Linked DNA regions of Macaca fascicularis. The main gene of each other region encodes a partner of the protein of the gene in region 3 in a complex. Links are inferred from orthologs where the notes say so. Each region holds a gene or a part of one and is shown on either strand. Other genes may lie near its edges. The genes, in order: DRC12, DRC3, DRC1 and DRC9.

The links.
Region 1: DRC1 (region 3) and DRC12 share a complex: the UniProt entries of both Homo sapiens proteins name them as parts of the nexin-dynein regulatory complex. The link is inferred for Macaca fascicularis from reciprocal best matches to the Homo sapiens genes DRC1 and DRC12.
Region 2: DRC1 (region 3) and DRC3 share a complex: the UniProt entries of both Homo sapiens proteins name them as parts of the nexin-dynein regulatory complex. The link is inferred for Macaca fascicularis from reciprocal best matches to the Homo sapiens genes DRC1 and DRC3.
Region 4: DRC1 (region 3) and DRC9 share a complex: the UniProt entries of both Homo sapiens proteins name them as parts of the nexin-dynein regulatory complex. The link is inferred for Macaca fascicularis from reciprocal best matches to the Homo sapiens genes DRC1 and DRC9.

What each region holds. Positions count from the first base shown.
Region 1 is NC_088388.1:118,065,538-118,071,058, forward strand, and holds the start of DRC12 (dynein regulatory complex protein 12), read right to left. Parts: upstream 3,701-5,521; 5' UTR 3,658-3,700; intron 3,360-3,657; 5' UTR 3,348-3,359; coding exon 3,287-3,347; intron 2,861-3,286; coding exon 2,786-2,860; intron 1,717-2,785; coding exon 1,597-1,716; intron 746-1,596; coding exon 653-745; intron 1-652. UniProt on the Homo sapiens protein: Component of the nexin-dynein regulatory complex (N-DRC), a key regulator of ciliary/flagellar motility which maintains the alignment and integrity of the distal axoneme and regulates microtubule sliding in motile axonemes.
Region 2 is NC_088390.1:18,128,334-18,133,182, reverse strand, and holds the end of DRC3 (dynein regulatory complex subunit 3), read right to left. Parts: intron 3,426-4,849; exon of another isoform or gene 2,437-3,425; coding exon 2,305-2,436; exon of another isoform or gene 2,300-2,304; coding exon of another isoform or gene 2,240-2,299; intron 1,781-2,239; coding exon of another isoform or gene 1,670-1,780; exon of another isoform or gene 1,632-1,669; coding exon 1,518-1,631; 3' UTR 1,329-1,517; downstream 1-1,328. UniProt on the Homo sapiens protein: Component of the nexin-dynein regulatory complex (N-DRC) a key regulator of ciliary/flagellar motility which maintains the alignment and integrity of the distal axoneme and regulates microtubule sliding in motile axonemes.
Region 3 is NC_088387.1:95,803,597-95,808,533, reverse strand, and holds part of DRC1 (dynein regulatory complex protein 1), read left to right. Parts: intron 1-2,284; coding exon 2,285-2,424; intron 2,425-4,937. UniProt on the Homo sapiens protein: Component of the nexin-dynein regulatory complex (N-DRC) a key regulator of ciliary/flagellar motility which maintains the alignment and integrity of the distal axoneme and regulates microtubule sliding in motile axonemes.
Region 4 is NC_088376.1:894,412-899,348, forward strand, and holds part of DRC9 (dynein regulatory complex protein 9), read left to right. Parts: intron 1-1,746; 5' UTR 1,747-1,805; coding exon 1,806-1,813; intron 1,814-1,960; exon of another isoform or gene 1,961-2,454; intron 2,455-3,070; coding exon 3,071-3,344; intron 3,345-4,937. UniProt on the Homo sapiens protein: Component of the nexin-dynein regulatory complex (N-DRC), a key regulator of ciliary/flagellar motility which maintains the alignment and integrity of the distal axoneme and regulates microtubule sliding in motile axonemes.

The DNA.
Region 1 (5,521 bases), on a different chromosome or scaffold from region 3:
TCAAACATTTTCCCTTAGTTTCGTTGTAGAAATTAGCTAAACTAAAAGGGAATATGTTTTGCTCACAAGAGACATGGCAGTGGTGGGGAGTTAGGTAGGGCTGGACTTGGAGAGGAGGAAATGGGGTGTGACGCCTACCTCTTCTTTTTTATTTTTATTTATTTTTTTGAGACAGAGTTGCTCTGTCGCCCAGGCTGGAGTGCAATGGCGCGATCTCGGCTCACTGCAACCTCTGCCTCCCGGATTCAAGCAATTCTCCTGCCTCAGCCTCCCGAGTAGCTGGGATTACAGGTGTGCGCCACCACATCCGGCTAATTTTTATATTTTTAGTAGAGACAGGGTTTCACCATTTGGCCAGGCTGTTCTCGAACTCCTGACCTCAGGCGATCCGCCCGCCTTGGCCTCCCATAGTGCTGGGATTACAGGCCTGAGCCACTGCGCCTGGCACCTCTTCTTTACTTACAACAGAGATTCTTGGCATCCCGAACCCTCTGCTCCAGTCCTCGGTGGTGGAGGGTCAGTGAAAGTGGGGAAAGTGATCCCAGAGCCCAGGTGGCAGCTTTCTGGAGCAGAGACTTTGAAGTCTGCCCCTTCATGCTGGCCCTTGCTGCAACTCTTGGAGACAAGGGGCTTGGGGGATGGGGAAACCTACCTAGCTGCCCCCGAAGGCCCTTGACTTCTTCCTCCAGCTGCTTGCTGCGGGATTGCATATCCTCCTGCAGGGCATGGCACTGGCGACTCATCTCTGGGGTGGGGGCAGTAGGCCGCCAGGGACCCAGGTCGGAGATGGAGCGATGGAGAAAGGAAATGAAGTTGTGGGTGGGGAAGACTCTACTTGGTCTAGTGGAACAGGAGCACAAAGGCCTTCTTGGTTCTTCTTTTTCTTTTTCTTTTTTTTTTTTTTGAGACGGGGTCTCGCTCTGTCGCCCAGGCTGGAGTGCAGTGGTGCGATCTTGGCTCACTGCAAGCTCCGCCTCCCGGGTTCACCCCCTTCTCCTGCCTCAGTCTCCCGAGTAGCTGGGACTACAGGCACCTGCCACCACACCCGGCTAATTTTTTGCATTTTTAGTAGAGACGGAGTTTCACCATGTTAGCCAGGATGGTCTCGATCTCCTGACCTCGTGATCCGCCCGCCTCGGCCTCCCAAAGTGCTGGGATTACAGGTGTGAGCCACCACTCCCGGCCCATGGTCTTCTTGGTTCTTTTTGTGATTCTGAGAAGCTAGAGACCATGAAAACCTGAGGAAGGGAAAGGAAGCCCAACCCACCTCCCCCACCGTCCAGCTTTGGATGGGGATGCTAGTCCTTCTCCCCTCCCATAGGATGGTTGAGGTGATGGCTATGACTGCATGTGTATCCTACACAGCATCAAGCACATGGCACCAGGCATCCTGGCAGGCCCCTGCCTGGGATCCCAGGAACCTACCTGCCTTTGATTCCTGCAGGATCCTGCCTGATTTGTACTGTTCGGGGAAGACCAAGACCAGGCCTGGCAGTTGGAAGCCCTCCTTGTTTCCCTTCCTTGCATCATCTGACCCTGCTGGTTGTCTTCCTCCAGGCCCCTGTCTCCTGCCCACCTGCTCAACAGACCACACACCTGCATATATGGCCTTCCCTTCACTTCGGGCCCCTTCCAGCTCAGCCTCCACCCTTTGCAGCCTCTGCTTCAGCTGGTCTTCGGAAGCCTTGGCTCGACGGGCTTCATCCCTCCGTACAGCTGTGAGCAGTCCCAGAGCCACTGTCAGGACTGGCTGGGGCCCGCTAAATCAGCCCCCATGAACTTGATGAATTTTGCCCGTCTCTAGAAATCTGGTGGCGGGGCGTCCAGCCTCTTATTCTCTCTCTGGGTTTTGTTGTTTTTGTTTTTTATCCCTAGAGTCTCACAGGCTCCTCATTATTAAGAAGTAAAGACTCTCTCCATGTTCTGCCTATACAAAATAGCTTTCCGGATAGCCCGGCATGGTGGCTCATGCCTGTAATCCCAATATTTTGGGGGGCTTAGGTGGGAGAATTGCTTGAGGCCAGGAGTTTGAGACCTGCCTGGGCAACAGAGTGAGACCTTGTCTCTATAAGAAAAATAAATAGGGCCAGGCGCAGTGGCTCATGCCTGTAATCCCAGCACTTTGGGAGGCCAAGGTGGGAGGATCATGAGGTCAAGAGTTCGAGACCAGCTTGGCCAACATGGTGAAAACCTGTCTCTAATAAGAATACAAAAATTAGCCGGGTGTGGTGGCTGTGTGCCTGTAATCCCAGCTACTTGGGAGGCCGAGGCAGGGGAATCACTTGAGCCTGGGAGGCAGAGGTTGCAGTGAGCCAAGATCGCGCCACTGCACTCCAGCCTGGGCAACAGAGCACAGGACTCTGTCTTAAAAAAAAAGATAGTAAAATAAAATAAAATGAAATAATAAAATAAAATAAATTTTAAAAAAGAAAAATAAATAAATAAATAAATAAAGTAGCTAGGTAGGGTGGTGTGCACCAGCTACTCGTGAAGCTGAGGTGGGAAGATTGTTGGGGTCCAGGAGTTTGAGATTACAGTGAGCTATGATCACACCACTGCAGTCCAGCCTGGGCAATAGAGCAAGATTCTGTCTAAAAAAAAAAAAAGCTTCCTTTATCAACTCTCACTGCCCACCCCTCTCTCATTGTCTTTTTCCACTAGGGGATGGTTAGGGTTCAACTTAGCCCCCCACTGTATCTCCAACTCTCCAATCCCCCAGGATACAGAAATGCCCCATTTCACTTGCCCTGTTGCCCACCCCCATGCCAACTTCTACCCTCCTTACCCAAGTGGTCTCGGAGCAGCTCCTTCTCCAGCACCACCAGCCTGTGCCTGGACTCAGCCTCCACATCTGCACCTGCTGTGGCAAGTGGCAGAGCCTCAGCTCTTCGTGATCTCAGCATTCCTCACTCTCCTTGCGTCCTCGCCCCACACCCTGCACTTTTGCCACAGGAGACCTGAGGACCACTAAATGAGGGATCCATGGTGGCAGAGTCTACTGAAGTCAGCACTGTGTCCTTACCAACCAGCACATAACAGATATGCAAAATACACATGACAAATATATTAGGAAGGCACAAAGCTAGATGGTGCTTAAAGGACAGCGTGAGTGACCATTTCCCCACTTCCTCAGCTCCCTGCATCTGACTTCAAGGACACGAAAGAGGAAGGTCAAGAGAGTTCCATCCTGTCATGTAGAAGGCTGAATTCTCTCTGGAGGAGCTCTGCGTGGTCTTCATGCCAGAACATGGAGAAGCAGGGGGCACCTCCACCCACCATGACTCACCCCAGTTCTTTTTCTTCTGCGCCCCAGATTTCTTCCCTTTTTCTTTGTTTTTAAGTGGCATCTCCTTGCTGTCCTGGGAGAAGGAGGGGACCTTATGTTTAGGTCTGGACACAGGGATGCTTTCCTGACTGAATCAGGAGTCTCAGGGGAGTCTCCTGGTTCTACTCCAAATTTGCATCTCATACTCTTCAGAAAAGTCAGTTCACAGTCTCTTTGGAACCTCAGGCAGGGTTGGGGTCAACGGGGAGGGTGAAGTTTTTTCTCTCAACCAGGCTGACTGTACGGAAGTCACTCCTCACAACTCTCTTTTAGATAAATCCCTGTACCTGCTCCCCTCCCTCTTCCCATCATCCTCAACCCCCTCTTCCTACCTGTAGGATCCTCTCCTGCCAGTGTTGGGGCTCCCTGTGGAGTGACCCACCCGTGGGGAGTGGCAGAGAGAAGGCCCAACTAGCGAGGAGCCTGAGGCGGGGCCTGGGTCCTGGGAGCCAATCCTTGGTGGCAAATTTCTCTTGAGGGCAGGACTGAGGGCTGGAAGGTTGGGTTTCGGGAGGCTGTATGTTGTCCAGGCAACTGGGAAACATGGAGTTGGTAGGAAGGTGGAATGGGCTAAATCAGCTCACAAAGCTTAAAATATCAAGGTCTCAAAGGGTCAGTTCTTTCCTTATCCCAAAACCCTAAGTATAGTTTGAAAAGAAAGGGCTTTGGAGGCCGATTGGTTATGATTCATTGCCACGTAGACATGGCCTGCAATTTGGAGACTTCCAAATTCAGATGTACACATCTGAGATAATATGTTGTGCTGATACAGAGGAAAAGGACTGACAGTAGCCATGTTGGACAATTGACATCCCGAGGTCCCATCAGCAAAATGACATTAGTAGGTTTAAAACTGAAGATCTAAGCTGGGGGCGGTGGCTCATGCCTATAATCCCAACATTTTCAGAAGCTGAGGCAGGAGGATTACTTGAGGCCAGGAGTTCAAGACCAGCCTGGACAACACAGTGAGACCTCATTTCTACAAAAAATTAAAAAATTAGCCTGGCAGGGTGGTGCACACCTGTTAGTCTCAGCTACTCGGGAGGCTGAAGCAGGAGAACCACTTGAGCCTGGGAGGTTGAGGCAGCAGTGAGCTATGATTGCACCACTGCACTCCAGCCTGGATGACAGAGGGAGACCCTGTCTCAAACAAACAAACAAACAAACAAACAAAAACCCCAAACCACTGAAGATCCTCTTCAGTACACTGTGGAATGAGGGTAATAAGTACAGGAATAGGTAGTCGAGGGCGTTTCCCACTTCAGAGAAATGAGACACAAAGGAACAGCAGACCCATGGACTCTAGGGTACTGACCTAGAGGGATGCAAGTGTGCAGGAAAGTGCTCAGGTTAGAGACAAGACATTTGAGTTTGAGTCCCAACTGTGGATATGTAAACTGAGGCAAGCCATTTGACTTTGCTCAGCATCAGTTTCCTGATCTTTAAATGTTTGATTTTGTAGCTCTTGAAAAGCCTGTGTTTTAGCTAGGTGTTTACATGGCTATCTTCTCTCCTAGTTACTTAATCTATTGCTACATTTCCCCATTCCCTTGTGTGGTTGATTTTCAGACAGGTGTTGAGACATTGCTTTGTGAGGCTCCCTGCAGCATAGAGTTGGTTGGGGCTCCCTCTAGTGGACTTGTTTGACCTTCTCCTGAGTTTCCCACATTTTTGCTTTTAAATTATTTACTGGGCAATACTGGGGGTGACTCCCTTTGGGGATACTTCTTAGTGTCCTGCTGGAGCCAGGAGTGGCTGGAATAATTAATGTGGGGGAGAGAGTATGACAGGTGGCCCTCCCTTGTCAGGCAGCCTTCACTCTCCCTGCAGCTCTGTGCTATCCTGAGGCTTGCCATCTATCTGCCACTTGGATCTCTGGGCACCATACTGGTTAGAGTGAAAACAGCAGACACTTCAGGGCTTTTCTCCTTTTGGATTAGGGGACCTGCAGACCGTTTCTTTAGGTTTTTTGTTTGTTTGTTTTGTTTTTGTTTTTGTTTTGAGACAGCGTCTCGCTCTGTTGCCCAGGCTGGAGTGCAGTGGCACGATCTCGGCTCACTGCAAGCTCCACCTCCCGGGTTCATGCTGCGACTGCAGGCATCCACCACCACGCCCCGCTAATTTTTTTGTATTTTTAGTAGAGATGGGGTTTCACTGTGTTAGCCAGGATGGACTCGATCTCCTGACCTCGTGATC
Region 2 (4,849 bases), on a different chromosome or scaffold from region 3:
CCCAGGAGTCCCAGGGGTCCTCCCGACATAGCCACCTCTAATGTCCCAGGAGGCAGGTGGTGCTGTCTGGTGTCACGCCAGTAAGAGGGCAGTGGGGATCCCGAGTGTGGTTCTTAGGCAGACAGGCTGTCTCAGTCCTGTGTCCTTGCCAGCCTGAGTAAGGTAATGGCATCAACCCTGTTCACACGGCACTGATCACATGCTGGGTGCCTCTCCATGCTTCCCACGCACTGTCTCCCTGAACTGTTCCTCGAAGGCACTGTGAGGTACTATCACAGATGACACCAGGGCTGCGGGGGTGTGGTGGAGCTGGGATGCCCCGCCTGTGCTCTGCTCTTCTGGAGGGTCCTCAGGTCCCTGTGACTAACCTCAGCCTTGGTGGGCAGGCCCAGGCCCCCACACTGTGGTGGGAGCTGCAGCCTCTCCTGCATTGCTGCCCCTCAGCACCCAGAGCAGAGAAGGTCTCAGCCCACACTGGCCTCCTTTTGCCTGTGGCCAGCAGCCTGCCTAGGCATGGCAGGAGAAACGGCAGGGGCACATGTCTGACTTTATGCCACAGCCAAGAGTCTAGCTGATGGCAGTGCCCTTGGGAGTCACTCTGTCAGCTGGCCTGGGACCGGCTGTTCATCTCAAACTCTTTCTCCTGTTCCTACATGAACATGAATTCTGATTTTTTTGTTTTTTGTTTTTGTTTTTGTTTTTGTTTTTCTTTTGAGACGGAGTCTTGCTCTGTCACCCAGGCTGGAGTGCAGTGGCCGGATCTCAGCTCACTGCAAGCTCCGCCTCCCGGGTTCACGGCATTCTCCTGCCTCAGCCTCCCGAGTAGCTGGGACTACAGGTGCCCGCCACCTCACCCGGCTAGTTTTTTGTATTTTTAGTAGTGACGGGGTTTCACCGGGTTAGCCAGGATGGTCTCGATCTCCTGACCTTGTGATCTGCCCGTCTCGGCCTCCCAAAGTGCTGGGATTACAGGCTTGAGCCACCGCGCCCGGCCTTTTTTTTTTTCTTTTTTTTGAGACAAAGTCTCGCTCTGCTGCCCAGGCTGGAGTGCAGTGGTGCAATCTTGGCTCACTGAGACCTCCACCTCCCAGGTTCAAGCGATTGTCCTGTCTCAGCCTCCTGAGTAGCTGGGATTACAGGCACACGCTACCATGTCCGGCTAATTTTTGTATTTTTAGTAGAGACGAGGTTTCATCATGTTGGTCAGGCTGGTCTTGAACTCCTGACCTCGTGATCTGCATGCCTCGGCCTCCCAAAGTGCTGGGATTACAGGCGTGAGCCACAGTGCCCAGCTGATTTTTTTTTTTTTTTTTAATGAATAGGGGAAATGTGACATGAGTCCTTTATTTTCTCTACTTTTGGAAGTTTTTCCAGGGGTGGGGCAAGAATGGTGTGGGGGATCGTAGTTGAGAGATGCCCAGCAACTCTCCTGAGGTGCTCGGTGAGGCATGTGCACTTCCTTCTCTTGGTTAGGGCTGGTGCTATGTTTTGAAGAAGCTCCTGTGGCTGACACTCATCTAGTCTAGGATGTCGCTATATTCCAGGTTGTCCAGTTCGCTCTGCATGTGGTCGATGTACTGATTGATCTCCTTTACGCGCTTACGGTTTCTCATGATCTCATCCTTGTGAATCTGAGGAGTGAAACCAAAGCCCGATACCTTACATCAGATCATTGGTTAATATCTTTCACTGAGTCCAGTTTGAGGGAAGGGGAAAATAGTTCCTTGAGATCTGCAAACCTCCGCATTTGCTTCGGCGCCTCCCCAGGTTCTGCTGATCTCTGTGTATTTGAAGTAGGAGTTAGGAAAATGATGAAGCCCATGGGTTTTGTGTTTTTTTTGAGATGGAGTCTTACTTTGTCACCCAGGCTGGAGTGCAGTGGCACGACCTTGGCTCACTGCAAGCTCCACCTCCTAGGTTCACGCCATTCTCCTGCTTCAGCCTCCCGAGTAGCTGGGACCATAGGCGCCCGCCACCATGCCCAGCTAATTTTTTGTATTTTTAGTAGAGATGGGGTTTCACCGTGTTAGCCAGGATGTTCTTGATCTCCTGACCTCGTGATCTGCCTGCCTCGGCCTCCCAAAGTGCTGGGATTACAGGCGTGAGCCACCGCGCCTGGCCGAAGCCCATGGGTTTTAAAGTCTCTGGGCAACCTTGTCTTCAGTGTGGAGTTCTATAATCCTTAATTTTATTTCTTCTTTCATTTCATTCCTAAATGAGAATTCTATCCGCTACCTAGGGAGGATTTCCATGTCAGCTAGAAAAATTTGTCCAACCTGCTAGGATGGCTTGGCATTGACTCACCTTGTCTACTAAACGTGTACACCAGGAGTTGATTCTGGTCACCAGCTCATCTTCTCGATTGTCAATCTTCAGAAGGTGGATGTCGTGCGATGCCCCGACAGCATTAACAATCGTATCTTTATCGACAAAAAGCTGGTGAGTGAAAAGAATCCAATGAGAACATGTGTGTCATTACACCCTGAACACAAAGAGAGCTGAATAGAAAAGGAGCATTTGGAAGTCCCCTGGCTGTGCAGGCCACACTCAGAGCAGAGCTCACCTTTGTATCAGCGCACTCTGCCGATTCATCTGTGAATTCATCTGTGACAGCTGCCTCCCCAACCGCGCAGGGCAGGTGTTGAGGGGAAAGGGCCAACCAGGGTGTTACTCTGCAGTCCCCGCTGGAAGCATGTTTCCTCCAGGGTGAAGGCAGATGGCTGCCCAGGGGGCACCTCACCCAGGACATCTGTTCTCACAATGCTTCTCTCTCAGTTACTCTCAAGTCTGACTTGCCCAAAACCTCTGCCTGCTGGGTGGAAGCATGAGACTGGCTGAGGGTCTTGGGGCTGCTCTGAAGACAGCAGGCCCTATAAACTGATGGGTGTTCACCCCACAGTTGTCTCTCCACTGCCACTCATGTCAACAAAACCAAACCATGGATTCCATCTGGGGTCTCCTTCTGCCTTCTCTTGTTCCTGACTTTGCTGTCTTGTAAAAAGTTGTTAGAAACAACCACCCTCTAATAGGCCTCACTGGTTCCAGGTGTTGACACTGTGGCTGTCGTTGCCTGGGATGGTGGAAATGCCCAGAGCAGGGCAAGGCCACCGAAGCACTCAGTAAGCAGTTGCTTCCACCTTGAAGCAGAGGCGTTTGGTAAGGAAGAGCACGTGAATGCTCTGTATTGCAGGGAGGACTTGCAAGTGGAATGTACACTTTTTGTTCTTCCCTGTAGTGGCAGTTAACGGTCTCTAAAACATGTTCTGTGGAATCTTATGTTAATATTTCTACCAAAAAAAGTATTCTTTGGTCAAACACATTTGGGAAAGCCAGCACCCCCAGGCCCCTCCTGAAGATTTGCAGAGCACAAAGTATTCCAGAGGCTCTACAAAGTCCTGTGGAAAATAAACCCTTTAAGCTTTGTCTCTCTTGGTTTTTCAACTTTTTTGGCCACAGACTTCAGAGTAATGCCTGTTAATGTCTTGTGGGATGCTGATTTTCCACAGAATCCCAGTGGGAAAAGCCAGGTTAGCTGATATGTGGAATGGGGTGTCTGGGGGACCAATTAGCACAGTCACAAGGGAGAAATGTCAAGAAATCATTAAGTTCTTTCCATGTGTGTACAAGGTCCCAGGCCAGGCTCTGGGAATGGTTCAAAGGTGTGTAAAGCCTATTTTCGGTGAGCGTTGGCAGTGTGCTTAGAAATGAGTGTTCTGGTTATTTTAGAGATAACTACAACCACAGTGTCAACCCATCACGAAAAGGTTTTCATCCTTCATCCTAAAAAGTGGGTCATAGTGGAGCTTTTAGCCAGGCAGAGAAATCATCCCCCTCAGAGTTTGAATATGTAGAAAACAGCTTCAAAAGCTGTGAGAAGCAACAGAAACTGAAGTCTGCTTAGAAAGATACATGATTAGAATTGGTTATGAAAAACAGTGTGACATTTGTAAAATGCAAATAAAAGGAAACTGGGTTTAAGGGAATTATTTTGAGATGTAAGTTACAAGTTGTTTCTGGACTTTGGGTGGCCTAGAGTGGTGGCTACTTCAATTTTCCCTCTTAGAATAGTTTTTATGGGTAGAATATTCCAGATCCCTCTCCAGTTTCTGCAGGTTGAAAGCCTAGGGTGGAGGCAGGGACTATGCAAACAGGTATTCCTGAATCTTTTTTGAGGTGTTGCCCTGCTCTGTGGTCCTTGTGGCTGTAAAGACACACTTCTTTCAAAGCAACTTCTTTGTTTAAACAGTGTTGGCATTGGCCAGGCGCAGTGGCTCATGCCTGTAATCCCAGCACTTTGGGAGGCCGAGGTGGGCAGATCACCTGAAGTCAGGAGTTCAAGACTAGCCTGGCCAATATGGTGAAACCCCATCTCTACTGAAAATACAAAAATTAGCTGGGTGTGATGGTGGGCACCTGTAATCCCAGCTACTCGGGAGGCTAAGGCAGGAGGATAACTTGAACCCGGGAGGCCAAGGTTGCAGTGAGCCAAGATCGCACCCTTGCACTCCAGCCTGGGCAGCAAAAGTGAAACTCCACCTCAGAAAAAAAAAATTGGCATTTAAAAAAATTGACTAATAATTGTTCATATTGATGGGGTACATACTGATGTTTCTACACTTATCATATATAGTGATCAGATCAGGGTATTAGCATATCTGTCTCAAACATTTATCATTTCTTTGTGTTGAGAACATTCAATATCCTACTTCTAGCTATTTGAAACTATAATATATTATTGTCAACTGTAGTCATCCTATAGTGGTATAGAACACTAGAACTTAGTCCTCCTATCTAGCTGTAATTTGGTATATCCTTTAACAAATCTCTCCCTATTCCTTCATCCCCCTAC
Region 3 (4,937 bases):
TTGAACGCGGAAAGTGGAGGTTGCAGTGAGCCGAGATCATGCCACTGTACTCCAGCCTGGGTGAGCGAGACTCTACCTCAAAAAAAAAAAAAAAAAAAAGGATTCTGTACTATTAAAATGATGTTAATAAAACTTTGCTAACCTGAAAAATTGTTGTTGTGATATTAAGGGAGGAAATTAGGATATAAAATTGTAGACATAGTTTGATTCCAACTATGTAAAGGACACTGGGGGGAAACATGCCAGCATTAACAGAAGTTGCCTTTGGGGGTGGAATTTTGGGTAGCCTTGCAACTTCTTTCTCCTATGTCTTCTTTTTCATTTGCTGTACTTTCCAAATTTTCTACAATGAGCAAATATTGCTTTTGCACTCAGGAAGAGTTTTTACAAAGAAAAATGTATAACTAGAAAGGGTAAATAAAAAATAAGTAAGTAGAGAAATTGAGAGGTAGGATTAGTTATGATCTCAGGGACTCATATGGTTCTTCATTCACCATCTGTTAAAAGATATTACAGGCTTCTGTTCTGAAGGAGACATTCAAATACTCATCTCATAATGGAGATTTAAAAATCCCTGCGGTGGTGATGTAGAATATTCTTGACTAATTCCCCCATGACAATGTGTGTGGGAATCACCGGATTCCACAGCAACCATGGAAATGATGTGCTTCCTGACCCAATGGAGCGTCACCTCCTAGCCAGGAGCCCTCCTGGAGTATGACCCAGAGTGGGCTGTGATAGCTGCTTGGAATCACTTCCTCTGTTGACTCCTGGGCCAGAGTCTGTAGCCTAACAGAGGGAGACGGGACAGAGGCTGGAGACAGCACGCACGTGGCAGTTTTATCGAGTTTCTGATTCCACTTGATTGCCTTCCCCATTCCTGCATTTCACTCGGGAGAGGCAGGAGCATGCCAGCCTCCAGCCTTGCCTCTCTCTGATCTTTTTTTCACAACCTGTCAGGGTGATCTTTCTACAGTGACTGGACCAACCATTTTCCTTCCCTGCTTAACATTTTTAGTGGTCCTCCCTTGACTTCAGGATAATGCTTTAAATTCCTAGCTTGGGAAGGCTCTGCTGCTCTGTCAGCCTCATTTCTGACCATTCCTTGCCTCGTGCCTCATATCCTAAACTTCTTGTGGTTTTCCCAAAGCCTCATATATGCTATTTCCTCTCTCTAGAGTGCTCTCCCTTCCGGTGTCACCTGTGTAACTCCAGCACATTCTCTAGGTCTCAGCTAGACACACCATCTTCCAGGGATGATTTCCCTGGTCCCTCAAGACCAAGGACAGTGCTCTTGTCATTGGTCCCATAATGGTCTGGGCTTCCCTCTATCTTGCCTCTTACCCCTAGCGTTTATCTGCCTCTGTTCTAGACGGGTCAGGACTATGCCTTTCTCACTGGTGTTTTCGCAACGGCACCTCGAAAAGTATCTCACACAGATTAGGCACACAATAAGTATTTGCTGAATGAATGAATACAGCTAATGGAAATCCAAAAAGTAAGGATGACTGTGTCTGTCCTTTTAAATGAACCTGGGTTGCTAAACACTAACACTTCCACCCTGGAAGGTCAAAGTGGGGGAAATTTCAAGTTTTTGTGGCCGTATTTATTTCTATGGTGTTTTTAGCGGGGCTACTCATATCTGAAGGGTCTGGAGAAAGTTACCAGAGTTAGTTGGACTTGAAAGCTCTGTGATCTTTCTTAGGCGTTAGGTATACAGATTTTAGTTTACAGTTCATTGACTTGTATTTTATCTGGTTGACCTTTAACTTGACTCTCATGATAGATTTTCTAAGAATGCAGGCTGAGGCACTTGTCCCTAAGGTTCCTCTGACATGACTTGAACAATTTATCAGAAGCCTACAAGCTAGGGCCAACTAGTGTGTGAAAATATATATATATTTGTATTTCAGAGCATACCTTTATTTGTGTACAATTTTAGGTATAATTCACAGGGCAGATAAGCTTATAAATGTAGGAAAGTTTATTTTTGTATACTTCCAGTATAAACTTCTACCAATACTTTTACCTCTTTATTCTTTATGAATGTAGGTACAAAGATAAATACATCTGAATATGGAGATGCATAGTTAGGTAAATAAACATACATAAGCAGGACTATGTAAGTATATCTATGTAAATATTTACCTATACAAAGCATGTTCCCCAAAAGACATTTTAAATACGCTAGTGTATATAATACTAAGGATGCAGGTGTAGAGTTAGTGTGTGTGTATATATACACATATACATAGATATATATATAGTTTTTTTTAAATTTTAGATTCTTGAGCAGCAGCTTCAGCAGAGGAAAGCAATTTATCAACTAAACCAAGAGAAATTAGAGTACAACTTGCAGGTGCTGAAGAAGAGAGATGAAGAAAGCACAGTGATTAAATCCCAGCAGAAGAGGAAGATCAATCGGTAAGCTAGCATGCAGAGCGTCTTTCTTCTGGGCTCTCTGTGCTGAGAATAGGGATGGATATGTACTTTTTTCTATTGAAGGGGTAGAAACCATTAAAAATATAACCAACACTTATTAAAATAGTTTTTTGGAGAAGTTAATACATTCAAGTGGTTCCCCTTCTCTCCCTAAGAAAAGAGAACATAGCAAAAGATTTTCCATCCCCATTCATCTTGTTCCTCTTTCCCACCTCTATAACCAGTTTGCCTCTTCCAGAATTTCATTAGGCATATACAAGCCCACACAAATATTCTCATCCCCCATCTGCTTTTACGCAAATGATGGCAGTCTGTACACACTGCCGTGTATCTTGAAGACCTTTCCATCCCAGTTCATGGAGAGCTTTTACCGTTTGTTAAGCTGCTACGACCCACTGTATAGATACACTATGATTTATTTGACCAGTGTCTAATGATGGACATGTAGATTGCTTCCAGCCTTTTTCCCTTGCAAATAATACCAACCTAAGTACTCATGACATGTGCCAGTTTGCTTTTGTGGAGATACCATGGCTCATTGAAAGGTACCTATTGCTTGAAATTTCTCACACATCTTCCCTTCTTCCTTGTCTCCTTAGTCCCATCCTTCCTGCCTTTCTTCCTTTAGGAATTGCATTCTAAGTTTCAGACCACTGTGTTAGGCTCTGAGGACCAGAGTGGAATAAGATTTCTTGCTTGTAGAAGGAGACAAGATTGAGGATTTCCCTCCAAACCCCAAATAGCCTATTATTATTTATGAATTCTTCCACTTGTGGGTTGGTAATACATACATTTTGGACACATGTTGAATGTATAGACGAACATCAGTTGACATTTTGGTAGTTACTTATCACAGAAAATGATACTGAATAAATGGGATGGCATCTTAAGCCTGATTATCTGAGAAACAAGAATAGTCAGGGGACAATATTTATGAAAAAATTCCCACTATATAAGCCCTATACTAGATAGGGGAACATCCAAGAAAGACACACATCAATACAGTGAGGAGGCACCTGGGAAAACTTCCCAAAGAAGTGAAATACTGGAGGGGGTGGGGACATGAACTGGCAAAAGGCAGTTAACAGGAGACTCCAGGTGGACAGTGCTGGCAGCTGGGAATGGCTGGTCTGAAGGCAAGGAGGTAGGATTCAGAAAGTCCCACAGTGGGTGTAGAGAACGGGTAAGGTGGGAGGCGGGAGGAGGCGCTTGAGGCAGAGCTTGGGTTTGATGCGTGTGGCTGAGAGATGAGTGGAATCTTCCCTCTTATTTCAAACTCAGACATCTTTCCCTCAGCCTGAAAAACCCTTCAACGGACCCTGCCATTTCTAAGCACCATCTTTTCATTTCTTGCTTTCATTGCCATTTTCCTTTCCTCCTCATCACCACCCAACATTTCATAATTTGACATATCTGTTTGTGCTGCTATAACAGACTACCTGAGACTGGATAATTTACAAAGACGAGTTTATTTCTCACAGTTCTGGAGCCTGGGAAGGCCAAGATCAAGGCTGGCAGGTTCAGTTTCTAGTGAGGGCTGTATCTTTCAGAGGGGAGGGACGCTGTGTCCTCACTCAGCAGAAGAATGGGAGAGCAAGCTGGCCTAAGGCTTTGGGAGGCCTGTTTTATAAGGGCCTTAATCCCATAATCCCATTCATGACGGGGGAGCCCTCATGGCCTCATTACCTCTTAAAGGCCCCACCTCTTAATATTATCACATTGACAACACTGAATTTTGGAGGAGTTACATTCAAGCCATAGCAATCTATGACCCCAGGATTGTACAAAAACTTCCCAAAGTAGGATACCAATGATGCCCTTCTAGCCAAACGTAGTGACTTCTCCTCAGGCCTCATCCTATTATGATTGGATACTGGGTTTTCTTCTTCGGTTTAAGTGACCCTAAAATATTTGCCCTTCTTTCTTAATTTATTTGTTTCCTTTGGTGGTTCTGCTTTTCCTTGCTTGATATGTCTTGAGTATCTAGATAAGGTAATCTAGAAGACCCAGGCCTTACCATTGCTTTTAATTTTTATTTCATCTGCCACACACCTCAATCTCATGGTTTTGAATATCCCCTTTTTGTTGATGACTACCAACTTCATATCCCCAATCCTGAGCTCACCTTTCATTTACTTGGAACTGCCAAGGTAACAGTTCAGCTTGGAGAGGCCCTGTCATTTCCAGGGCACAGTTTCTGAAACCAGACTTGCCTTTGCTCCCTGTTTCCAGTTCTCCAGCTTTACTCCTCTGCATCTCTAGCTTCCAGGCACTAAGGACTCTGGACTTTTTGTTGAACCTCCTCTTGCAACCATTCTTCCCTGTTGACTTCCTCTCCTGCTATCTTGCCCGGACCTTCAGTATGCATCTGGAGTTTGTTTTGGTAGCTTTTGTAATTAGATGACACGTAGGAACTCCTTTACCGCATGACATTGGGAAAAAAACCACTTTGGAATGACTACTTGTTTTTACTTCTGTGCTTGGAAAGCCTCCTT
Region 4 (4,937 bases), on a different chromosome or scaffold from region 3:
AGCCAAGATGGCACCACTGCACTCTAGCCTGGGGGACAAAGTGAGACTCCGTCTCAAAAAAGAAAAAAAGAAGGCAGAATCCACAGGCCTTGGTAATGGTTTGGATTAGGAGGATGCTGATATCCAGATGAAGAAGGTGGCAGGAATGAGTACTGGGTTCTCGCATGAGGAATGAGAAGCCAGAACGGCAGGAAGGCACTGGAATCTGCACAAGCGCAGCCCTGTCTTACCCTTGGGAAGCACAGTTACCTGTTATGCCCCAAGCCTAAGAAAGTGGAAAACAAAGAATCAACATCATCAAAAGAAAAATATTGACGGGTGCAGTGGCTCACGCCTGTAATCCCAGCACTTTAGGAGGCCAAGGCGGGTGGATCACCTGAGGTCAGAAGTTCAAGACCAGACTGACCAACATGGGAGAAACCCCCGTCTATACTAAAAATACAAAATTAGCCGGGCGTGATGGCACGTGCCTGTAATCCCAGCTACACCACAGGAGGCTGAGGCAGGAAAATCACTTGAACCCGGGAGACAGAGGTTGCAGTGAGCCGAGATCACGCCATTGCACTCCAGCCTAGGCAAGAAGAGCAAAACTCCATCTTAAAAAAAAAGAAAGATATTCTGCTTAATACGATGCTGCTTCCTCCTAAAACTGCCCCTGCATCAGGAAATCTGGCTAGTTTGAAGTATTTTTTCAAATTTATAGGAAGATTCTGTTTTATATGTTTGAATTTTTGCGTATCAGATTTTTGTTGCAAGAGTCATATTTGCACCACCTCTCTCAGAGTTACTTTATTGTGGACGAATTTACATTGGAAACTCACACTCACTGTCCATTCAGCACAACACAAAATTCTCCACAGGTGTTCTCACTGCAAAGCTCATTTAAGCAGAAAGGATTCTGGTGCACTCTGGAGGGGTAGCATCTTGACAGCCGTGTCAAACTGATTCCGATTTCCAGGATTAATATAGTTTTTCTTTCTTCCTTTTTTTTTTTTTTTTGAGACGGAGTCTCGCTCTGTCCCCCAGGCTGGAGTGCAGTGGTGCAATCTCGGCTCACTGCAAGCTCCACCTCCCGGGTTCACGCCATTCTCCTGCTTCAGCCTCCCGAGTAGCTGGGACTACAGGCGCCCGCCACCATGCCTGGCTAATTTTTTGCATTTTTTAGTAGAGACGGGGTTTCACCATGTTGGCCAGGATGGTCTCGATCTCCTGACCTTGTGATCCACCCGCCTCGGCCTCCCAAAGTGCTGGGATTCCAGGCGTGAGCCACCGCACCCGGCCCCAATTAATACAGTTTTTCTAAATGTCATCTCAATTATTCCTCTAAGCACACGTGGAGCAAATTCCGTTATCTGGCGGATAAGATGGATTGAGTGATCTAATTAAATGTTAGAGTAATTAGAATCATAGAAAAAATCAAGTATATAGAGATTACCAATTAAAATTGTGATACCATGGAACACTCTAAAACCAGGTTGAACATTAATTTACCTTAAGAAGAGGCCCACAGAGTGCATGTGTCTTGAGTTTGGTAGAGCAGTAAGAATTCGGTCAACTTCTTCATAGACCTGCGGTCCGTGATGTCGATGTTTCTTTCGCCTCTGAGACTGCTCCACTCTGCACAAAGAGGTGACAGTCACAGCTCCCGTAATCATTTAATTTTCTCTGAATAAAATGATATTGAAATAACTGAAACATCATTGAAGACTTGCATAAACTAATCTCAGTGTTTCCTTCCCATTTTAGGTAGCCGCACTTCTGTGAGATTATAAATATTCCACGGAGGGTAACGGAACTACGGGAGAATGGAAGAGTATGTTTACAATTCCTATGTTTTTTGTATACATGTATTTAAATTATGCCTTCTGTGAAAGGTCTGTGTATACCTTATCTACTGCTGTGTGACAGATCACCCCAGAACTTAGTGACTTAAAATACAAACATTTATTCTTTCCCACAGTTTCTGCAGGTCCCAAGGTTAGGAGCAGGTTAGCTGGATGGTGCTGGCTTGGGGTCTCTCCTGCACGTGAAGTTGGCCACGGGTGGCAATGATGGCAATGATCTGAAGACCTGATGGGGGCTGGAGTATCCACTGCCAAGGTGGTTCATTGACAGAGCTGGCAAGTTGGTGCAGGCTGCCGGCAAGAGGCCTTTGTTCCTTTCCCTCATGGGTGTGTCCACAGTGCTGCTGAAATGTCCTCATGTCGAAGCAGCTGTCATCCCTCACACTGAGAGGTTTGAGAGAGGAAGGCAGAAGCTGCGATGTCTTTTATCACTTAGCCGTGGAAGTCCCACTCCGTCATTGCCACAATAACCTTCCGGTTACATAGGCTGGTCCTACTCAGTGTGGCGTAGACTACACAGAAGCATTAATACTAGAAAGTGAGAATCATTTGGGCCACCTTGGAGGCTGGATACCACATTCTGTTTTTCACTCATCAGGAGACACTTTTGGTTAGCATCTAAAGATACTCCTAGGGAAAAAAAGTTAATTTTGGCTCAAATTCAAATTGATCAGCATAGCCAAATTGCATGAGCTACATAGCTTTATTAAACAGTAGGTCAGGTGTGGTGGCTCACACCTGTAATCCCAGCACTTTGGGAGGCTGAGCTGGGTGGATCACCTGAGGTTGGGACTTCAAGACCAACCTGACCAACATGGAGAAAGCCCGTCTCTACTAAAAACACAAAGTTAGCCGGGTGTGGTGGCGGGCGCCTGTAGTCCCAGCTACTCAGGAGGCTGAGGCAGAAGAATCGCTTGAACCTGGGAGGCAGAGCTTGCGGTGAGCTGAGATCACGCCATTGCACTCCAGCCTGGGCAACAAGAGCGAAACTCCGTCTCAAAAAAAGGAAAAAAAAAAAAAGTAAGTTGTTTGCCTTTGGTTGGTCAAAATGGAAGATATTTAGCAGAATCACACTCAAACTCCTACTTTTTTTTTTTTTAATCTAGGTTATATTATATGACAACAAGAATATCACAGGAGCCCAGCACATTGCTGCCTGTACTTTTGAGTTAAAGTAATGTTTAAATATTGGTCGCTGACTTATTTTTTCTTTATTCTTTCCTTAGAGACAGCCTGGAAGACTCAAACCTTCCTCCAAAAGTTTGGCATTCTGAGATGACAGTGTCAGTGACAGGCAAACCACCTAGTACCGTAGAAGAAGACGGACTACCTAAAGAAACAGACGTAGAAACCATCCCAGAAATCCTAGAAACCCGAGAGCCACTCTCGCTTCCAGATGTGCTGAGGATCTCGGCAGTTCTGGAGGACACCACAGACCAGCTCTCTATTCTAAACTACATCATGCCCATTCAGTACGAAGGAAGACAGAGCGTCTGCATGGTATTTACCCGCTCACGATGAGACTATGAGTTACTTTTGCTTTATTTTTTATTTCTCCCTCATTTATAGTACCTATCTCATTAAATGTATTGATTTATCTTTCTCTCTCTCTTTCCTTCTTCTTTTTTTTTTTTTTTTTTTTCTGACAGGGTCTCGCTCTGTGGCCTAGCCTGGAGTGTAGGGGTGCTGTCACGGCTGACTGCGACCTTTACCTCCCAGGCTCAAGTGATCCTCCCACCTCAGTCTCCTGGGTAGCTGGGACTACAGGTCTGCACTACCACACCTGGCTAATTTTTTATAAAAGTTCTGTAGAGATGGGATCTCACTGTGTTGTCCAGGCTGGTGCCATTAAATATCACTTGGGAAATAGCACCTTTATTTCAGATAAAGGGCTACACTACCTATCTGAGATATGTACTCTCAATTGATGGAGTGAAATGGTCATGACTGAAGGTACATTACCGGACAGAATATCCTTTTCCACTATGTTGGCATTATCCAAAAAGGCCTGTACGGAAATCAGTATAAGTACAATACCGAAGAGAGGGAATGACTAAGCCGTCCGCGCAGCTTGTGTTTCTCAGCTGCTGAACCCTAACTGAACACTAGGGGGAGGAAGTTCAGCTCCGGCCTTCACTTCGCTTTAATCTAAAATGACTTGTCATTGGTGAATACGTTGTAACTTGCCTTCCTGAATATCCAGCCGCATTACTGTGTCAGCCATTACATTTTCTTTTTTTTTTTTTTTTTTTTTTTTTGAGACGGAGTCTCGCTCTATGGCCCAGGCTGGAGTGCAGTGGCCGGATCTCAGCTCACTGCAAGCTCCGCCTCCCGGGTTCACGCCATTCTCCGGCCTCAGCCTCCCGAGTAGCTGGGACCACAGGCGCCGCCACCTCGCCCGGCTAGTTTTTTGTATTTTTTAGTAGAGACGGGGTTTCACCGTGTTAGCCAGGATGGTCTCGATCTCCTGACCTCGTGATCCGCCCGTCTCGGCCTCCCAAAGTGCTGGGACCACAGGCGCCGCCACCGCGCCCGGCTAGTGTTTTGTATTTTTAGCAGAGACGGGGTTTCACCTGGTTAGCCAAGCCCTTACATTTTCAATCGTGTTTTGGACTGCTCTGTGAAGCAGCACTGAGTTATTAGAAAATTAATTTAGTAGTGAGCAAAGTCTTTATACATGTTTAGCTCTTGTACATTTCAATAACTTAGGTTGTAGGTATAAAATGGAAACAATTTACAAATAGAAATACATATTTATCAAGTTTTACATAATAGCATTATATAACTTGTGCAGAAGATACTCTTTTTTATTTTTATTTTTTTTATTTTTATTTTTTTGAGACGGAGTTTCGCTCTTCTTGCCCAGGCTGGAGTGTCTGGGCTCACGGCAACCTCCGCCTCCTGGGTTCAAGCGATTCTCCTGCCTCAGCCTCCCGAGTAGCTGGGATTACAGGCCTGCACCACCACACCCAACTAATTTTGTATTTTTAGTAGAGATGGGGTTTCTCCATGTTAGTCAGGCTGGTCTTGAACTCCCAACCTCAAGTGATCTGCCCGCCTCGGCCTCCCAAAGTGCTGAGATTACAGGCGTGA